Linked DNA regions of Mytilus edulis. The protein of the gene in region 1 purifies or fractionates together with the protein of each later gene. This does not show direct contact. Links are inferred from orthologs where the notes say so. Each region holds a gene or a part of one and is shown in the gene's direction. Other genes may lie near its edges. The genes, in order: cdc42 homolog and formin-binding protein 1-like.

Region 1 (11,404 bases):
TTCATGACTTACGATCAATCTTAATCGGAAGGTTTTTTTTTTGTTTTTTTTTTTTGTGAAACTGACTCCTGAACTGCCGTGAATTTATACATCCAACAAAATTTTTTTTTAAGAAAGGTATCTATTAGACCATATTTCTACTCTCCTATTGAAAATTACGGATTAGAATTGCATTTTCAAAAATGGCACAATTCTTATTCCATCACTTTCATTTCCTGTTTTCCCCAAAATAAAACACAAAATAAAGACTTAGTAGAAATTACTATTCAAGGGCAGTAACTCCTATAGATTAAGGTTACTAACAATTTCTATCTTGTTGACCAATTTGTAGACACTGTCTTGAAGAACAATCAAAATTTATTTTTGTCTAAACAACAAAAAATGGTAAGCATTCGTAATTTGAAGGCTATGTTGATTTAATTTTTTTTGGTGGGGGGATCTTAATAGAAAAAACAAGGATATACAGCAAACAAAAAAACACAAAGGCTTTTATTGCTGATCTTCATCTCAAAATCATAGCGAGACCTTCAACACGGAGCATAAACAACACTCACCTCACTGCAAGATTGCAACGGCCGCTATATATAGCAACGGCATGAGTAGAATCCCTAGCAAAAATAATTTGTATATAGACTTTGTAAAATGAAACATCACTGAATCGGGCCCATTAGAAAAATAACATACTGCAAAAGAAATACATATCTATACAACACAATAGTTACTACGCATAGGTGTAAATCTGTTGAAAATATTTTAGTCATTACGGTATTTTTGTCTTGTCTTGCTATTTCTTGTTGTTCTCGTTGTTTTTTTTTTATTTCTATAGTTTCGCAAAAGATGGACACACATCATCATTACAGGGGTTACTTCTTTTTAGGACCGACACATAATTGGCTATGTTAACCTATAAGAGATCTTGTCTTGTAGAGTCTAAAAAATGTTAGTACGTAAATTTTTCATAGGATTTTGGGGTATAAGTGGTAAGGGAATTTGTGCAAGACTTACATAACTTGCATAACGATCATCTCAATGGTTTACTGGGGCAAAAAACAGGATTTTCCCATCGCCCCTTCGGCAGTTAAACCCTTCCTACAGTCTGTTAATTGTGTGCACTTGGTGGGTTAAAGCGCAGTCATGTCCGGTCAATAAATCCTATGCCTACCAAAGGGTAGGGTGTCAAGATCTCCGTATGTTTAAAATCCCTTGCAATAATCATACGAAGCGTCCGAAGGTAGCCTATTGCAAGGCAAACATTTGGCTTTATCCAACATACCCTTAATTCCAAGTTTATGGCAATCCAAATCTATATATAGCCCTTTATCCCGGTTTTTTTATTTTATTTGTAAATATCTGAACATGCTTGAAATAACTGCTACTGGACAATAGCCAAGCAGTAAGACAAAAAGACTATGGTCATGTTTTTCTCTGGCTGTTTATGATGTCTTTACAAATTACACTAAATCCATTGGATGTTGGATGTGTACGGATTGATAGTTTAGTCTTAGATGCATGATTTTTTTATTAGTTGTTAGTGGCTTTGAACTAGATGTCAGATAACTGCGAGTACTCTCAGATCTGTTCATTGTGTCTTTTTGTGTCGGGATGTATAAGTACCCGGCCACGTCCACTTATATTTTTGTCCATCTGATGAGTTAAGCCTTTTTCAACTGATTTTTATAGTTCGTTCTTATGTTGTACTGTTATACCACTGTCCCAGGTTAGGGGGAGGGTTGGGATCCCGCTAACATGTTTAACCCCGCCACATTATTTATGTATGTGCCTGTCCCAAGTCATGAGCCTGTATATTCAGTGGGTGTCGTTTGTTTATGTGTTACATATTTGTTTTTCGTTAATTTTTTTACATAAATAAGGCCGTTAGTTTTCTCGTTTGAATTGTTTTACATTGTCTTATCGGGGCCTTTTACAGCTGACTATGCGGTATGTGCTTTGCTCATTGTTGAAGGCCGTACGGTGACCTATAGTTGTTAATGTCTGTGTCATTTTGGTCTTTTGTGGATAGTTGTCTCATTGGCAATCATACCACATCTTCTTTTTTTTAGTCCTATGCTGACCGTGTTTATCTGCAGAATTCAGATTCCTGCAAGATACAGCATTGAACAAAGGCGGTCAATTGATTATTCACTTCAATTGTTAATTATCTAGGTATCCTTTCTGTTATTTTTGTAATTGTTGCGTTTTAGTGGTTTCATTGGCTTACATTTTTCCATCTATCCATAAAAAAAATGTACTTGTCTTACATTCAACGGGAGATAACTAAAAAAACAATGAAAATACTTATGGTGAACTGATATGATGCACTTCACTTCATCAGAGACCTATACTACAAATAATTTGTATTTCTATGTCCCTGACTTCATGATGGATATAATTGAAAAACAAAACAACGCCAATGCTTTTGTACACAATAGCTTACATAATGTTTTGTGAGCTTGTTTTATTTGCTTAGCAACTGTTTAATTTACGTTATGCGGTCTTGAGTTGTGATGAATAATTTAAGAAAGAAAAAACATACTACATCATTTTACAACATTGTTTGGAGTAAATTCTAGAGAATTTAACCGAGAGATTACGGATGACTATCTTTCATACTTTCTTGTCCTATTTCCGATATGAGCGGGCGCATTTACGAAATATTTTGCCTATTAGAAAATTTGCGTTTACTTGTATGTGAAGAGACAAGCATGCGCAATTATGATACTTAGTTCGTGGCATGTCTCCAGAACGTGCGGTAATCGTTTGTCTTCCTGTACATGTACCTTCAATTATTTAAAGGAGTTGTCATTTTTATCAATATAAGATTTTGAGAACACTAAAACACACCGCGAAATCGCTGGCATTTCAAGCTTTTAAGCTGTTGTAGGATGATTTATTGTAAAAGATTTTATGTCTGGAGAAAAGGTATCAAAAGCCCTCTCCATTTTTGCCAAAGTCCGTTATTTGTTTCCTTTTATGTTAAATTTCATTATTTTCGAGTATCTGACACTAGACCACAATTACTCTTCCCCTTTGCTACAATGCATTTCTTGGTAAAAGTCAAATTAAATTTTAAAAAAATACACCGCTTCAAACATGAAATAAATGTAACTGCTTATAGACCATTATTATTCTCATAAAATATGCTTCTAGGACAATCCATTAGTGCTTTTTCTTTTGAAGTAGCATGATACATTTCCAATATTCAGTTTCATGGTCTTGTTTGTAAAAAGGCAGAAGGTACCAAAACGGATAGTCAATTTCAGTATTAAAAAACACACTGACAACGTCATAGCAAAAAATAACCAATAACCAATAAAAAATGTATTGGTAAATCGTTTAAATGATTTTAGAACTATTCAATCTGAAGTGTCACTTTCACATTCTTTGAATCATTCGTATACCCCATCCAACGATGGAAACTCTTTTCTAATTATGTTTACTACACAAGCCGGTATGATTATTCTATGTTTCTTGCCAAGTGGTTGACCTTTCCTGACCCAGCACACAAACTGACGATAAGCCACAAGCCTGCTTTGTCTGTTAGTAAGTACGTCTGGAGCTCTCCCTCCCTTTCAGTAAGACAAAGTTGACCTTTAAATTTTCTGTCAACATTTTTGATATTTTCGTTCAAATAGCTGAAGAATTAGTACGTGGTGAAAGGACATTACTTCCTGAATATTAAAAAAAAAAAAAAAAAGAAGATCGCCTTATATAACTGCAATTGGTAATTATACTATCTATTTCAAAAATTCAAGGTCACCGATTCTTATTTAGAATTTTTACATCATTATTCATAAATTTATTCAATTAAATTAATTCAGTATTCCTTGTTTTTAACAAAAAATATTCAGCGTCAATAATATATTTAATTAAACTGAGCTCATGGAAAATATTAAGATTCCCCCGTTTATCATTCATACGAAATGTTCACACCTAGAAAAGTGAACCGTGACGGCTTAAATTCACTGAGTAAAGATCAAAAGATACAAAATGCTAATCTTTTAATTAACTTGAATTTAACCACGCATTCAACAGGTAGTCACTATGTGTCAAAGTACAATACACATTGTATTTGCGGGGCCGTATTTGCACACTACAAATGTACTAGCAGCACATATTTACTAGCCTGACGTAAAAGGTAAAAAGTACAAACATGCATTTTTAAAACACTACCAGTTATACATGTAAGTTCAAAATATCCGTCGGAAAAAAAAATCATAAAAAAATATTTTATATATATGATTTACTTGTATCACTATAAACATTTCAGAAAATATTAAAATATAAATCGTACATTCTACTTTCAAAATGAGCGCTGTTCCATCTTAATTATTAGTTGGTTAATAGCCACACCAAACGTCGTCTATGCGCTTTAAATAGCGTTATAAGATGATTAACGATTAAGATTTAAAATGAGATTATTTCCACTCCCGGCATGCTTAAAGACATAAACTACGTCACATAAGTCAGGAAGTTCGAAGAAATAAAATTAATAATTCTTAATTTTCTCCTTTATTGCTGTTCATATCCAGATAAAACTTGGTGAATATGTTTTTTATTGTATTATGGACATAATTAGCTGATAAGTAAAAATTCGCGAATTATCCCTTTAAGCAGACAACATTATGTAATACAGGGGCGGGTCCAGCCATTTTAAAAAGGGGGTTCCCCAGTAACCAAAGACAAGGGGGGCAACTACATTCAAATGCATTGACAATCTCCCATACAGACAGGAGGAGGAGGAAAGGACGATAACTCTGTCTGTATGGGAGATTGATGCATTGAGCGTCCAAAAAAAAGGGGGGTTCCGACCCCACCCCCTGGATCCGCCATTGTAATAGATTGAGTGTTTGATGCAATGAAAATCAGATCCGCTGTTAGTTTTAACTACGATACTCTCCACCCTAACCTTAGAGGAGCGTACGTAGCCTAACAACATTGGATAGTTTTGATATTTCCAAATTTGATAAAAAAAATAAAAAATAATAAAAAAAAAAAAAAAGCTGTATTACGAAACTGAACTGCTAGCGCTGTGAAGCATGCATAATTGTTTACGCTTGTAACCTTTGATCTGCATACTATTACTATACTAATATGCATTTCGGGCAAGATTAAATCATATTTTTTCATCCGAGCAGTCTAATTATACCTAAAACGACCCCAAAGATTTGGTCGCTCACCTGGCAGCTTCCTACACACTACAATGCATACCACGAATGATCTAGTGGTTATGAATGACCGAAGGGTTTCCTTTTAGTATTCATTCTCATAGTATCTATATATATGCTCCTTGATTAGCAGCTGTGCTCGGAAACAAAAGTCTTGCAACCATTTGAACCTGATGAACGGTCAAACTACCTTTTGACTAGCTAACGTAACTTGTAAAGATTCAAAGCGATTCTGAGTTTGCATGGTATAATTTTAGGGTTTGTGCCCGTTCATTATTGAAAACGTAATGACAACCTTCAATAGTCTCTTTTGTTTTATCCGTGTTATGTGGTTGCTGTCTTATTGATGCCAATTATATCTCAATCATAGACACATTAATATGTATATGAGAGTCCGAATCCCTCCGAAACTTAGGCCCATCCGAAACTTAGGACCCTACTAAACATTTGACAGTGGTTAACAGCAGAACATTAGAAACAACTAAACATAGGTTGAATAGGCTTTGACTCATCGAAAATCAGATAAAGCATTAACTCATTGAAAATCAGATAAAGCATTAACTCATTGAAAATCGAATAACTATAGCAACTACAAAAAAAAGTCCCAGAGTTCTAATCTAAGACTACTCGCAGTTACTGAGGGCTAGTTGAAATCCCGATTTCCACTAATAAATGCAGAAGATTTCGGGCATGTCAATCTGCATGTACACCCATAAGGGTTTAATTATATAAATTTGATTTTTTTTAAAAAGAAGACATCATTCAACTGCATGTATACATGACCTTGTCATATGGCGAAAGATAAGCGAATATTTATACAGAATGTATGATTTATTATTTTTATTTAGGCCATCGTTGATAATTAAATACACATGAGTAGACAAAAAATACGGCGGAAAATTATCCGGTCACTGAATATTTAAAAAAATATGTCTATACAATTAACTAACAAACAAACAAATACGCTATAACTGTGTCCATATGATTTTCTGATTGATTAGTTAATAATTAATCACAGAACACAGGGGCGGATCCAGAACCTCGATTCCTGGGGGGGGGGGCACCAAAACCAAAATTTATATATTTTTTGAGATGTATACATGTATATATGCGAGTGTGGGTGGGTTTATTTTGTTGTTTTTTGTTGTTGTTGTGTTGGGTTTTTTTTTAGGGGGGTCACATCATCGTAACTATTTCACTTTATACTTTATTTTCCTGTCAATTGATCTTTTTTATATTCGTCCTAAACAAGCATCAAATATTTGCCACTGGACTTTAGACAACCAACAATCAATCAATATTTTGATTATGTATATATTTCATCACCTCTACCTTCTTTTATCTATACTTTTTGGCCTCCCTTCCAGGCTTACTTTTTTGCACAGAATTCTTATCTCTGTAAAACACCTTCATATCCTTTAATATATATCATGTATATAGTTAACCTATTCATTCAACAATTGACTTAAAAAGATAATAAAACGGTTTAATCACTGACTGTATAGATCGATCTATACTGAAAAAAATAGTCTATATCAAAACTCTTATTCTATTTTCTCGTTTTATCCAAGAATAGAACCATAAAAATAGGCCAGAAATTTGATTCGTCGTTATATTTGGATTTAAACTTGGGACATATATCAGCTGAATTTGTGTATTGCCGATCATTTGAATGTTGACAGGTGCTACGTTACTAGTGTATTTATTGGAGCTATTTTAAGAAGAAAATCACGTCATAGACGCATGCGCTGTAAGTTTTTCCGGTTAAAATTGGATTAACTGAACACCCCGGAAATTAGTATTGTAGGTATTATTTGAATGATTATCAACAAAAGATCTAAGTATGAAGTTAGATAGTTTTTGAGGCATCAATCCAAAGGACTCTTTTGGGATTTATCTGTCCCATTTAACTCTGAGATTCTTTATCCAATGAATTCTTGCTCGGAGTCTGTCAAAAATAATGGCGGCATGGCTTCCGGTGCCTGTAAATGTTAATGTTCTCCTCTTTAATCCTCGTAATTCTAACTTATAACGTTTCATTTGAAAGAAGTTTTTCCCTTGAACAGTTATCAAAGTAAACTGTGCATTTTATTTGGTAAATAAATGAATGAAAACACAGACTTTTTCAAACCAAAAAGGGGGCTTGGGAGTGCCTTGTTTATCATGTATCTCTGTACAGGCATTACAGTGTACTGTGTCTCTATAATAAATAAAAAAAAAGCCTGTTAAAGTTCATCCTATTTGCTGTTTTAAATTGTGTACACTTAAAACTTAACGTAACTGAACATCTTGTTTTGTAAACAATAAAAAAAAAATTTTAAAAATCAATCATCAGGGTTCAGGGGTGTGAAAATACTATCAGACTCCTACATTTGAACAACTGGACAAGTAATTATGTTTGTCTGGGTTGCCCGTCGACAAGTAAAAAAATATACATTTGTACAAGACAAAGTTCAAATCCAACAAAAATAGTCAAAACGTATACAAATGGTATAAAGATGTTTAATTTATGTTAAAGAAACCAATGATCAGCAAGTAAAAATATATATTTTAGTCAAAACATCAATGTTCATGATGATAGCTATTAAATAACATCGGAAATAGGTTGATTCCGAAAATGAATAAAAATAAGTACATTTGTATGAGAACCAGAGTCGCATATAACATTGTTTTGGCTTTGTCTATTGACCAGGGACAGTCAATTACGTTTTATATCCGGTATCAGGTCCGTTTACGCCTAATACACTTTCCCACCCTACACGTTCGCACCCAAGGTCTGTTGGCTCCCTACACGTTCACACAAAATTTAAAATCAAATTCCAGTTTAATAATTAGAAAATTATGATTGTTAATTGTTTTAAATTGCTGTGATATAAATACTGCATGTATTTAGCTTGGTATGAGTAAAACATTGAAGATTTTAAATGAAAACCACAAAAGATAAGTGTTTTTAACTCAACTGCTTGGCTCATTGATCTGAAAGTTCCAACAATAATTTAAAACAATAAATTATAGCATTTTACTAACCAAAACATGATTAAGATTCATTCAACACAAAAGTTGATAGAATCTCACTTTATTTAGAAACAATAATTTTTTTTTCAACAATTCACTATCCAAAACATGATTAAGATTTATTCAACATGGAAAAAAACCATTGTCTCACTTTATTTTGAGACAATGACAACTTATATACAGTACTTATAGGAATGCACTTGCCAAAACTTGATTACAAAGTTATTACATTTGTACATACATGTACAAAACTAATAAAAATCAGGCGAGAACTGACCCGGATTCGTTTTATCTATCATTCACCCGATGTGTCATTTCTTTAGATTTTGAATGTAGATTCAGATTGATAAATACTTAATAAAACATAAGGCAAGCAAGACAAAAAGAACGACGAGTCAAGTAGAAAACATGAGATGCAAACAAAGAACAAGGGTTTAAAAAATAAATATGGCAGCGAGAATTTCAGACATGGTGAATATCAGATTGTCCCCTGGAAGGAAATTCAGAAAATAAATTATTTTTCTGTCTTATTTATCATGTTTATAGATCAAAAGTAGTCAACCTTATTTGTCTAAGTTTTAAATATAAGGGACACTTTAATTGCCCATCAACTACATGTACATTTATATGTCATATGAAAAAAAAGTGTGTCAGTTGAGAGAAACAATGAGTTAATTTTTAATTATTTTGTTTTCATTTCTTCACTCACCATTGCTCACTGTCCTCCAAATTAAGTATATGCTGGTTACAATTGTAGCTTGATTTTGCTGTACAAATTTAATCAGGCTAAACAAAAAAAAGTGTGAAACATGCACAAGAACAAAAATTATAAATTAAAAACTAATTTTAAAAGTACAAAATGTATGTAACCAGGGTGAAATTATATATAATTATATATACCAGCTAGTTGGACAAACACAAAAAACTTATTTTAATCAATTTTGAAGATGCTTTAAGCCTTTTAAAGCGAAATAAATAATGTGGTATGAGCATGATAACAGATAAGCATATTACGATCTCAAAAGGTTGCCAAATGTGACTTTTTAGAAGTTTTGCTGATTGTGTGCCAAGTTCTGTGGATAGGTGTAAAAAACAACATTTTGATATTGGATAGAATTTACTTAATTTTAAAATGGATGTTTGATTTTTGATATTCATATACATTGTATACTGTCGATGATCAGATAAAGGTAAAGTGGGGAAAAACAACGACAAATGATTAAAAATGGAAAATTAAAAGTTCAGTTACAATGACTGAATGTACATATAATACATGAGAACCCAAGTTATGTGTCATAACTTTAGTCAACATACACAAGTCTTGGTTCAATCATTTTCAGATTCATACACCAAAATATAAAATACTTACTAACTGTCATTCATTTAAAAAAAAAACCTACAGTGTAAGTAAGAAGATGTGGAATGAGTGCCAATGAGACAACTGTCAATCCAAGTCACATTGACACAATGCATACATGTAGTAAAAGTTACAAATTATCATGATTATAGGTCAAAGTAGGTACATGTATGCTTTGGTTATTTATAGATTGTTGCTTATTGTCAGAAATAACATGAATAAGAGGACATAAAAAAGTCATAAATGTATGAAAATGATTCTAAGGAAGAAATGTGGTAAAAGTCATATAAACCAAGTGTGGTAAAACATTGCATATTTTAATTGTTTATACACATGTTACAGCCATGACAGCATGTGCAATAGGGAAGTAAATTCCAGGGTAACTAAAGCTAAATTTGACAATTACTACAACTCAACAAATGCTTCTATTTAATTATTATGATTATTTAAGAATTAACAAACATTGGAAGGTAAAACTATAAAAAGACAACAACATCCTGGATTACTACAAGGAAATGCTTTTTTCTGGTCTACATGTTTCAACACTTACAATGTATGGTGGTGTCTTCAGATACAATTTAACATGGATTGGGTTTTAAACCTAGTCATTCTTTAAGACTTGTCTACAGTACATGTTTAGCCACTTATGGTACAATGTAGCTTCTTCAAATACATGGGTAGGATTTAAAACCTAGTCATTCCTTTAAGCATACATTTAATGATTAAAATCTATATACCAAAAAAATATAGAAGACTTTGCTCTAGTTAATATTGTTTATTATTCTTTTTTCAGATATTTCCACCATGCAGACAATCAAGTGTGTGGTTGTGGGAGACGGTGCTGTAGGAAAGACATGTTTATTAATATCTTATACAACTAATAAATTCCCTTCAGAATATGTACCAACAGTAAGTTTATACATTCAAAACATTTTATTTCACATTTGCAGAGCAAAATGGTATTACTTAACCTTTTAATTTGTGGTGAGAGTCCCAAATTTGCTTTGTGTACAACTAGTTAAATTTTGTGTACAATGCCAATGGGACAAAAATGCTGACAATGCAAGAAAGTCAACATGATGTTGTGAATATTGTGAATCAAAATTCTATAAAACTATAACACATTTACATGATTTATAAACATTGATAAAAGTAAAAATCAATTTAGTGTCTCTTTCAATTTTATACAATACACAGATTTTTCTGCAGCTAAAACTAATGATTTATAATTTGGCATACTGTAAAAAAAATTCAATTGATTGTTATTTTGGGTGTAATTCTGCTGAGAATGACCAATATATGTCGAGTGGTCTAGCGCGCCAGATACAGCGCAGGCGATTTGGTGTCACGTTATCTCAGTAGCATGAGTTCAAATCCTGGCGAGGGAAGAACAAAACATTTGTAAAAGCAAATTTACAGATCTAACATTGTTGGGTTGATTTTTAGACAAGTTATATATATAAATATATATATATAAATTAAAAGATACAGAGTGTAAATCTTAAACAGTTTGTGGATAAATATATATATTATTAAAACTATTTTTTTGCAATATTTCTGTGTACATGTACATGTATGAACATATACATGTAGATCAATAGAGAGAGATCTAGAGAGAGAAAACAATTTCTTATACTCTTGTCAACATAGATTTATATTATGTTTGACAATCACATGCTTTAGTCATTGCAAACTCACCCATCATTCATTATTATTACTCTAAAGTTCCTTCTGAAACCAATGAAACTTGTTTTGCTAACCCACTTGTATTTTTTGCAGGTATTTGATAATTATGCAGTAACTGTTATGATAGGTGGAGAACCCTATACCTTAGGTTTATTTGATACAGCCGGACAAGAAGATTACG
Region 2 (11,037 bases), on another chromosome or scaffold:
GTTTTTCATATAGCATTGTAAACATGGTAAATTATGACATGTAGACGTTCTATGATCGTTTGTCGCTCTATTTATGAAGTACCTGGGTAGTTCAGAATTTTAAAAAGGCCTTTTACCAACATACCTATAGTACACGTATATCCAATAGTTTTATTCAGTTCTGATTCTGTACTTTGAAATGTATATCTTGATTTATCTCTTCTTCATTGATTTTTTTTAAATTCTAACATTAGTAAACCATTTTTTGTAAAGACCACGTTTAAAGGGTACATTATTTTATTTGGCGGCATCTTTTGAAAGCTTATGATTGTTTTTTTTTATATTGTTTTACATCTAACCCCAATTTTTGTTAAATAATTTTGTATTAACATTGTGCCATCGAACAAATTTATTCGTTCAGTGTATGTTCACTTGTTTTTGTTAGTATGTTTATTTGATGGAGTTACTAGTAAGTCATTTCAATTAATATTTTATAGTGTTTTTTTTATTTTGGGTTGTTACACTATTGTTTCAGCGGTAGGGTGGATGTTGGCACCTATTAAAAAATTCGCTGCATTTATTTGTGCCTGTCCAAAGTCAGAAACCTGATGTTCAGTTGCTGTTGTTCGTTGATGTGATCACGAGAGTGTGTCGTTTCTCGTTTTTTATATAGATTATACTGTTGGTTTTCCTGTTTGAATTGTTTCACACTAGTAATTTTTATGACCCTTTATAGCTTGTTAATTGTTTGGTGTGAGCCAAGCCGCTTCGTTTTAAAGACCGTGCTTTGACCTATAATATATAAAAAAGAAGATGTGGTATGATTGCCAATGAGAGAACTGTCCACAAGAGACCAAAATAACACAGACATTAACAACTATAGGTCACCGTACGGCCTTCAATAATTAGCAATAGTTTACTTTTACAAATTGTGACTAAAATTAAGCGGAAGTGAAAGTTCTTATCGTTTATCCGACCAATCCATTGCAGAGCTTACCTATTTTATTTAATATCATTGTCGTGTCCTAAATAAGCATGAACTATTTGCCACTGAACGTAAACAAAAAAGAATCTATCAATCGAACAATATCCTTCCTTTTCTTTGCTTCATTCTACACACTATTATTTTGAATCTAAGTTGTCTTAAAAATCATTTTTAAAATTTATATCATTGTGTAGCAGTAGCAATTCTCCTGGAGATTTGGGGATGCAGACCACAGCTTGATCTAGTTTTTTTTTTAACGGAGACGATGAATGTCAAATGTAAAAGCGCTATCTAAATAACTAAGTAAATGGAACCAAAAACAGCCTGAAAACAATATATCATAATTTCTTCATTAAGTACATCTTTATCTTGAAATCCAAATGTTAACTGAGAAATGGAGCATTCAAGGACTTCGATATTACCAGTGTTTATAAGGAATTTGGCAAAAACACTTACCTTAAAGGGTGATTGCTTTTCTAATTTGGAGAGCCGTGGTGTAGTGGTTAGTGCATCGGACTACTAACACAAAGGTTCCGGGTTCGATTCCCGTTTGGGATGAAAATTTCAGGAACTCAATTTTCGGCTCTCCCTTGACACCATCTGCGAGTATGGTCTTGAGGAAACGATGATAGTCCGTCGGAAGGAGACGATAAATGGCTGACCCGTGTTAAGAGAGAGCCATATCTCTTGCACTTTAAAGACACCCTTGTAGATTTCGAAAAAGAGTAGGCTAATGCCGCTACAAGGCAGCACTCGCACCCGCAAAGTGGAAAGGAATTAATATAAGTTGCAAAACTTGTTTCCCAATCCACTATAAATAAATATGTTTAAAACTAGTTTGGACTAAACATGTACCTCAGTTCCCAGACCATTCAACATGATCATGAATTCAAAACCAATAAAACCAATAATGATGGGAGTTTATAACGACGGCCTTCGTACGGTCGTAAAAACAATTATATACAATGTATAAGTTATAAAGAAGGTTGTAAATGATTTGCGACGATTTTGTTTTTTGAAATACTATCAGGCTATAGCTACCATTTGAAATTTAGGGGAGAGGGGGTAGAATGAAATTTAAAAAAAAAAGGCAAGTCAGGACTGAGTTTTGAGTTAAAAAAATGCAGGATGAGACACTGTTTGCAAAAAAAAATGCAGGATGATAATTTATGACAAAAAAAGTCAAAATTTTTAAGGCAGGCCCGACTAGAATGAAAAATAAAAAGGCAGGACATGGATTACAACTGAAAAAAAAGACAGGACAAAATTTGTTATCCCCTTATAAAAATCAAATGGAAGCTTCCTATGAAATGTTATGTCCTTTTCATTTTTAGCCATGGCGTTGTCAGTTTATTTTCGATTTATGATAAAATTGAGAATGGAAATGGGGAATGTGTCAAAGAGACAACAACCCGACCAAATAAAAAACAACAGCAGAGGGTCACCAACAGGTCTTCAATGTAGCGAGAAATTCCCGCACCCGGAGGCGTCCTTCAACTGGCCCCTAAACAAATATATACTAGTTCAGTGATAATGAACGCCATACTAATTTCCAAATTGTACACAAGAAACTAAAATTAAAATAATACAAGACTAACAAAGGCCAGAGGCTCCTGACTTGGGACAGGCGCAAAAATGCGGCGGGGTTAAACATGTTTGCGAGATCTCAATCCTCCCCCTATACCTCTAGCCAATGTAGAAAAGTAAACGCATAACAATACGCACATTAAAATTCAGTTCAAGAGAAGTCCGAGTCTGATGTCAGAAGATGCAACCAAAGAAAATAAACAAAATGACAATAATACATAAATAACAACAGACTACTAGCATTTAACTGACATGCCAGCTCCAGACTTCAATTAAACTGACTGAAAGGTTATGATTTCATCATATGAACATCAGGCACAATCCTTCCCGTTAGGGGTTTAGTATCATATACAATGTATAAGTTATAAAGAAGGTTGTAAATGATTTGCGACGATTTTGTTTTTTGAAATACTATTGAAGGCTATAGCTACCATTTTACTGAGTTTTGAGTAAAAAAAATGCAGGATGAGACACTGTTTGCAAATAAAAAAGCAGGATGACAATTTATGACAAAAAAAGTCAAAAAAATTTTAAGGCAGGCCCGACTAGAATGAAAAATAAATAGGCAGGACATGGATTACAACTGAAAAAAAAAGACTGGACAAAATTTGTTATCCCCTTATAAAAATCAAATGGAAGCTTCCTATGAAATGTTATGTCCTTTTCATTTTTAGCCATGGCGTTGTCAGTTTATTTTCGATTTATGAGTTTGACTGTCCCTCTGGTATCTTTCGTCCATCTTGTTATCCCCTTATAAATATCAAATGGAAGCTTCCTATGAAATGTTATGTCCTTTTCATTTTTAGCCATGGCGTTGTCAGTTTATTTTCGATTTATGAGTTTGACTGTCCCTCTGGTATCTTTCGTCCCTCTTTTTTAATTTCCTTTCGTCGTAACTACAATCCCCTTCCCTTTCATGAGTGTGACCTACCAAATTGGACTGTTTACCGGATTTGTTTATCACATTAGCAACACGACGGGTGCCACATGTGGAGCAGGATCTGCTTATCCTTCCGGAGCACCTGAGATCACCCCTAGTTTTCGGTGGGGTTCATGTTGTTTATTCTTTTGTTTTCTATGTTTTGTCATGTGTACTATTGTTTGTCTGTTTGTCCTTTTCATTTTTAGCCATGGCGTTGTCAGTTTATTTTCGATTTATGAGTTTGACTGTCCCTTTGGTATCTTTCGTCCCTCTTTTATGTATAAACCGGGAACATTTTATGAAAATCTGATCTCGAGTGCTTCGGCAAAATAATTTTGGAAAATGTGTTTCTTAGTACTATTAAAAATACATACAGTTCAGTAAGAAGAAAGATTTACTTTTGTCCACATACTGTATAGAAAAGTACACAAACATCAGAAACATGATATGTGTACATATGGCACGCCTGAACCACTTTTATAGATAATCATAGATTATCTCAGATAAACCAGGATTTTCTCAGATAAACTAGGATTATCTCACTTTTTTTACATTAAGCTCAGATAAACTGGGATTATCTCGATTTTTTTCAGATAATGCCGGTTTATCTCAGAATTTTCAGATAAACCGGGATTTTTTCCAGATAATGAACTTTCTATATTTTCTCAGATAAGCTAGAATTTTCTCGAATTTCAATTAAGCTGAGTTAATCCTAATTTATCTGAGATAAACCGGGATTATCTGAAAATTCTGAGAAAATTTATTAACTGAAAAAAGGAACCAATAGAAAGTAACGACACATTTGAGAAAAATGTCATGGTCATAAGGGATAAGATATAGAGACAATGGTGCATCTATACAGATAGAGAGGAATGAAAGATAAGGCTCTTACGGAAAACGTTTTAGAATGGTTAATTTTCTAAATTTGATAAAATAAAATAACAATTGATTTATTCAGGATGTACATGTATTACAATAAAATTGAGAATGGAAATGGGGAATGTGTCAAAGAAAAAACAACCCGACCAAATAAAAAACAACAGCAGAGGGTCAGTATATCGATATTAATGAAGATCAGAGGGATTGAACAATTGAGAAGTTGCATGTCTTGAGAGTTTCTTGTAATAGAATTTGAATGTAATATCCGTATTTTTCCTTATGAAGATAGTGAAAAATGTTACATAAATCTGACATCCGCACAATTAACTGGGACAAATAACATTAATGTTGAAATAAGTTTAGCACAGTTGAAATACACCATTTAGAAGTCCTAAAGAGTTTCCTTTTAGAAAGTTATAATCTTATTTTTTTAAAAAGATATCACGCTCCATTTTTCTTTCCGTAAATTTCCGTATGTACATGTATTTATCATTTATGCCTCTGCAAAATGATATGTATAAACTTTAACTTTAATAATTTTAACAATTCTGGTAAGGTTTATACAGCAGACTCGGACATACACTTTGAATGGACTTGGAATGTCTTATATCATCAATAACTTTAATTATGTTAAAGGTAATTTAAATTCCATTAAACAAAAAATTAATGACCAATGTTTGCAAGTTCAAAATGCAACTATTTAATGAATGGCTTTTATTTATTTTGAATTTATTGAACCATAAAATTAATTTTTGACTCTTCACATTGAATAATCCGCGAAGCGGATTATGTTAAATGTGAACAGTCAAAAATTAATTTTATGGTTCAATAAATTCAAAATAAATTACTGCCATTCATTATAAATAAATTTCTATCAAAAATAATGCTCAAAGATATATATTAATACCAATAACAACGTACACAGATGTTTGCGTATGAATACACAACGTTAGAGTGGGCGTGTCTCCATAAAAATTGATAACATTGAAAATAAAGCCAATTTTTTTAGCCAATCAGAAGACAGTAAATACACCAAATTTATTTATATTTGAATAAAAAAATTAGACTGGCCTTTTCAAGAGTGTCTATACATAATATAATCATAATAGGCAGGAGACCACCCTACGTTGGTATATTGAAAAACAGAAGTGACAGAGCTGCAATATGTAAGATTCGTATAAGCGCTCATATACTGATGAGTGAAAGAGGGAGACATCTAAATATTCCCAGAAATGAGATAACGTTACTGCTCTGTTATCTTTTTATTAAATAATAATTCATACACAAAGTCCTAAAATTGACTTTCTCTTTCATTTCAGACAGTCTGAACCTGCGTAAAGCAGAACAAACTCTATAAAATTGTGAATATAATCATTGTTTAAATTTATTACAAATTAATATAGTCATTATTTGCAATACTTATTATGTATGATCAACTATGTAATTAATATAGACTACCATGAGTCTTAAATTTATTGTTTATTGTGTTCCCAGATTGTGCTAATAAAATATTTGTATTTGTACACTATTATGATCTATTATATGTCTCTGATTATAACAATGAAGTTTGAAACCTTTACTTGAAGTATGCGAAAAAAATAAATACTTCTAATCTAAATAATAAAGTTAATCTAAAACTTAATTAAACTCCTACACTATTAATTTACATATTAAAAAAATGTAGATAAAACAAAAATAAATGGAGTTGTCTCCCTTGATTTTTTTGTGTCTGTCAAATATCCTGTAAATAATCTGTTTGTAAAACGGGGATAGCCTAATTTAAACCCAATTTTATCATTTCTTCTATTTTTTAACACTAAAAAATCCAAAAAACAATAACAATATTCCGTATACGAAACTTAATGTAAATAATAATCCCTATTCATTGAGTCAGATCCGCCATATTGGATAAGTAATAAGAGGCTGGGCTAATGTTATTGTCAAATATTTAACGTTTTATACATGTTGACTGCCCTAAGGGCTCCTTAATGCAGACATGAGCTGGGGAACTGAGCTTTGGGTAAGTTTCCAGATTGTTGCAACGGCCAAAAGTTGCAATATATTTACATAAACCGTCCACAATTTACCAAAATAACAGGAAGCCGTTGTCGTTTCAAGGAAAATATTTAGTGTGATACTCAAATCGTTGTCAGCTTGGCTTACAAGGCTCTATAGTGTGATAAACTATAGCACCACATTCTTTGTTATAGACATGCTTTTGATACTGCATATTAGTTTGAACACAATGAAATAAGTCATGTACATGTATGTACAAATGAAAGGCAAAATATAGTCTCTAGAGTGAACTGTCAGAATTCTGGCCCCCCTCTGATTGATCATTTCTATGTTCATCAAATTCAATTCTGTCCCTTTCCATTTGTGCTGAGTTATTTTGCCCCAAATAAATACATCTTTATTTTGTTTGACAATGATATGTTTTTTATTATCGGTTTTTAATAAATAATAAACATTTTAATTGAACATGATGAATGTGGGATAAGACTGAGTCATAGTAAACGGACTAAAAAGTAAAATTGGTCCTTCTATAAAGTCAAATTTGACTGTCAATAAAGTTTCCTTGGACCGTCAACAATAATAACTCTAACAAAGTATTACATTGCAGGGTTTAGGAATTTGAGGGCTTTAAATACATTGTAGTCACTTTTGCGTGAGATGAAAATCAACCTTATTTTGGATAATAGCAAGGGATGGAGGATGTTTATTATATATACTAGCCATATTAACTAGTTGAAATTGTAAACAACGTTCAAACCTATGATTGATTTGGATACAAAACACAATTTTTATTTGTGTGCATGTAAGAAATTTCGTTGTAGAGGGATCTGAATACAGCACAATCAACATTTTCCAAAAGACCATAAGAATGAAGAAAAAAATATTTTAACAAAACGCATTTGACTAGCAGGTCGAACAACTGATATTCTTAAACCCTGCTGACTGCCATTGATGATTGCCAAATAAATTGATCACAAGGTGTAAAAAAAAAAAAACGGGTCCGTTCGCACCCTACACATTCGCGCCCAAATTTTATTTTATTTAAACTATCATATACTATGAAATACAAATCAAACATTGTATCTTCATATCTTTTTTTTGTAAAAAAGATAATAATGCTCGAGTCAAAATTTGATTTAGGCCTTAAAAAAAAAGATATGTGTTTCCGGTAACATCATTTTGAAAAATAGGGTCGGTAAGTCAGAATTCTTTTTTTTTTCTTTTTTTTTTTTTCCGACATCGTAAATGAAATCCGGAAAATTATCATGGTTTTTCCAAGTCCGGATCCGTAATTAGTTTCAAAAACCCGAAGTGTGCCATTTGCAATGTTTTTGAAGCACCTGCTCTGCAAATTTCTTGGATTTAAACCTATTTGGAATACCTTTTGACATTAATAAAATGTTTTACTGGCTTTCTATGCAAGTAGAAGCAAGAGAGAAAAAATATTATGTCATCTATCAGAAATGCAGAAGCCTGTGTCAAAAACGGGGTCGGTTGATACAATTTTTTAAAATTTTTTTTTGAAGATCCAATAAAAAAGTTAGGGTCGGTCGGGTTAGGCTTAAATTAAAATATTGATTGTTTGCCCTTTACCGACCGACCCTATAAATTCGTTGCGCCTGAAAATCTTTTATTTGTATTTACCAGCAAGATTTTATTTTATTTTATTTTTTCGTTCCTACCAAAAATCTTATACATTGTATTTGTATTTCCCGCTCAAAACTATTTTACCCGGATTTCTCGGGTTTTATCTTTAAGTTATAAGGTCAAGTCCGTTTAGTATCACCTGAGCGTTTGACATGAACACTTGCAATTGAAGTTTCAAAGCATTTGTTTGAAATCGATGTTCAGCATGTGAACGCTTCCATGATATGACGTACGCTACTCTGTACCTTTATACTTAATTTAAAGAGCAGGGTTCATTTACAAAAAAGTTCGTTTAATACAAAATTATCAACGTGTGTACAAACTCATTTGTAAACGGACGTTGTATTCTTTGTAGGGATGGCCTTTTGTGATCCGCAGATCAGGATGATTATGTTAACGATGTCGCTATATTATTTATATCTGACATGAACCAAAAGTGACAAAACCCTGTAAAGTGAGGAATATCTGGCAGTAAAATCGCCAAGTTTTCCATACAGGTCATTTATAAATGCGATGTAAAATACGTGAGTCGTGACAATTGTCAGAGTTTTAAGTCTTGTAGCATTTTTATTGGAAACAAAAGGCACACACGATATTTTTAACACTCTAGGGACTTTTTCTACTAGTAATGTATGTCTGCCCGGACATATCTTATCAATACGAAGTTATCTTTTACAGAAAATCTTAAGGTAAGCATACAAGGTACATAGTACAGAATATAAGTGCAAGTTCAAACTCTTCCAAGTTCCAGGCATATAAACGTTGAAGATATGCGGCACAGCTCTATATTTTGATATTTGAAAACAAAATAGTAGTGCATATGAATTAGCTTCACATTCTACGTGATATTTTTTTTTAAAACTAATAGTCCCAGAAAACTTATTTGCAAAAACCAAACGGACACAAATTACATTATGCAAAGTTTGTATATATAAAATAAAATATTATACCTACCTGCCTACCCATGACAAATAATATACCGAGCCAAGTTATTTTTTTGGGGGAAAAAATAAAATATTTTACCTACCTACCTACCCTGTTTCAAAACATAGGGTCGGAAAAGGGCAAACAAACAATATTTTAATTTAGGCCTTACCGGAAACATCGATCTTTTTTTTCTCGGCCTTATTTATTATTTACGAGTTTTGGAGAGTGTATTGCTATAAATATTTAGCCATTGTCCAAACACACATGAGATCACATAAGCTGTTAAAAACAATTATATTTTTTATTTAAGATCTTCAAAGTTTTAGGCATACCAAGCTAAATTTATGCAGTTATTTACATCAAAGCAAGTTAAAAGACTTAAAACAACAATCATGATTTTTTTAAAACACTAAAAAATAACACAAAATTAGGCTGTGTATACCAATTAGCAGTAATCATACATAATTAACATTTAATAATTAATCATCAAATTAAAATTAAAAAAAATTATATGATACTTCCTCAAATTTAATAAAAGAAAATAAAATTATTTGTTAAAAACAAAATTCTAATAATTCAACTGATATTCTAATATTAGGGGGCGTACATGTGAGGTGCGAAAGTATATTGGGTGCGAACGGACCTGATACATTTTGTACCTAAAAAAAATGGATCTCTATATTAATTTAAAATATAATACAAGCCCAAACCAAATAAATATAAACAAGTCTAAATTGAAAACAACGTTCAATCCTATGACAGCGTTGGATTAAAACCGCAATTTTCATATGTATGCATGTAACAAATTTCATTGAAGAAGGGTCCAAATACAGCACAAACTACATTTTCTCAAAGACCAATAGATTGAGAATATTTTTTTTTAAGAAAATGCATTTGACAGGGTGCTTACTATAGTGTGAAAAATGGCAATTTTATGCATAAATGTCTTTGAAAAAAAGGCAAATATCTAAGCCTCATAATTTATAAGCATATGTCATAAAATGCATATATGTACATAATATTACAAACAAAATACTCCACATAACTTGGGCTATATGGTAAAATCAAGTTTCAGTTAAAATGGAGTGATAATATTCAAGACTTAAAGTTACAATCTTTTCTGCTGGACTTTAAAATCGCAGGAGATCTATAAATCCCCTGCGAAACGACAGAGAAAAAGGTGCAGGCGTCACCATGAAGGGAATAGGGGTCAATATAAAAGGGTAGGCGCTGCGCGCTGTTCAAACTTTGAAAATTAGCTAGAACACTGCATACAAATAGAAATAAGTTAAACAAAAACAGAGTCGATGTGGCTGGGTACTTGTACATCCCAACAACAGAAAAAACTAAACTGACAAATGAAGGATAAGCGCACTACTTGTTTTCTTACAACCGCAAAAAATTTTATAGATCTTCATGAAATTCTTTCAGAAGGTTTAATACCACCAGTTGAAGGTTGGGATTCATTTTTTTATGGGTCCAACTGTTTAGGAATTAAAGGCCAAAAACAAGCAGTTTCCAGATAATAATAGTTAAACTTGTGTGTAAGTGTATGGATCTCTCTGAAATTGTACCACAATGTTGCATATAACAAAGGGAAGTCTGGGATTGAGTTTTGGGGTTATAGCTCCAAGGGAGGTTTTAATAAGTTGGGACGGGGATTTTTTGTGTACAATTTTTTTAAGGGATTCATATTTTTTCTTAATTTTTTATACGACCGCAAATTTTGAAAAAATTTTCGTCGTATATTGCTATCACGTTGGCGTCTGCGTCGTCGTCGTCGTCGTCGTCCGGCGTCCGAATACTTTTAGTTTTCGCACTCTAACTTTAGTAAAAGTGAATGGAAATCTATGAAATTTTAACACAAGGTTTATGACCACAAAAGGAAGGTTGGTATTGATTTTGGGAGTTTTGGTCCCAACATTTTAGGAATTAGGGGCCAAAAAGGGCCCAAATAAGCATTTTCTTGGTTTTCGCACTATAACTTTAGTTTAAGTTAATAGAAATCTATGAAATTTTGACACAAGGTTTATGACCACAAAAGAACGATTGGGATTGATTTTGGGAGTTTTGGTCTCAACAGTTTAGGAATTAG

The links.
Region 2: the proteins of cdc42 homolog (region 1) and formin-binding protein 1-like purify together in Drosophila melanogaster (affinity purification with western blotting; 4 studies listed by BioGRID). This does not show direct contact. The link is inferred for Mytilus edulis from reciprocal best matches to the Drosophila melanogaster genes Cdc42 and Cip4.

Annotation. Positions count from the first base shown.
Region 1 is NC_092356.1:47,828,710-47,840,113, forward strand, and holds the start of cdc42 homolog, read left to right. Parts: upstream 1-6,694; 5' UTR 6,695-6,908; coding exon 6,909-6,915; exon of another isoform or gene 6,916-7,006; intron 7,007-7,118; exon of another isoform or gene 7,119-7,260; intron 7,261-10,330; coding exon 10,331-10,446; intron 10,447-11,316; coding exon 11,317-11,404. UniProt on the Drosophila melanogaster protein: Regulates mbt kinase activity and is also required to recruit mbt to adherens junctions. Together with mbt and Frl, regulates photoreceptor cell morphogenesis. Together with Frl, has a role in the neuronal development of mushroom bodies.
Region 2 is NC_092345.1:44,049,795-44,060,831, forward strand, and holds the start of formin-binding protein 1-like, read left to right. Parts: upstream 1-6,232; 5' UTR 6,233-6,348; coding exon 6,349-6,372; intron 6,373-11,037.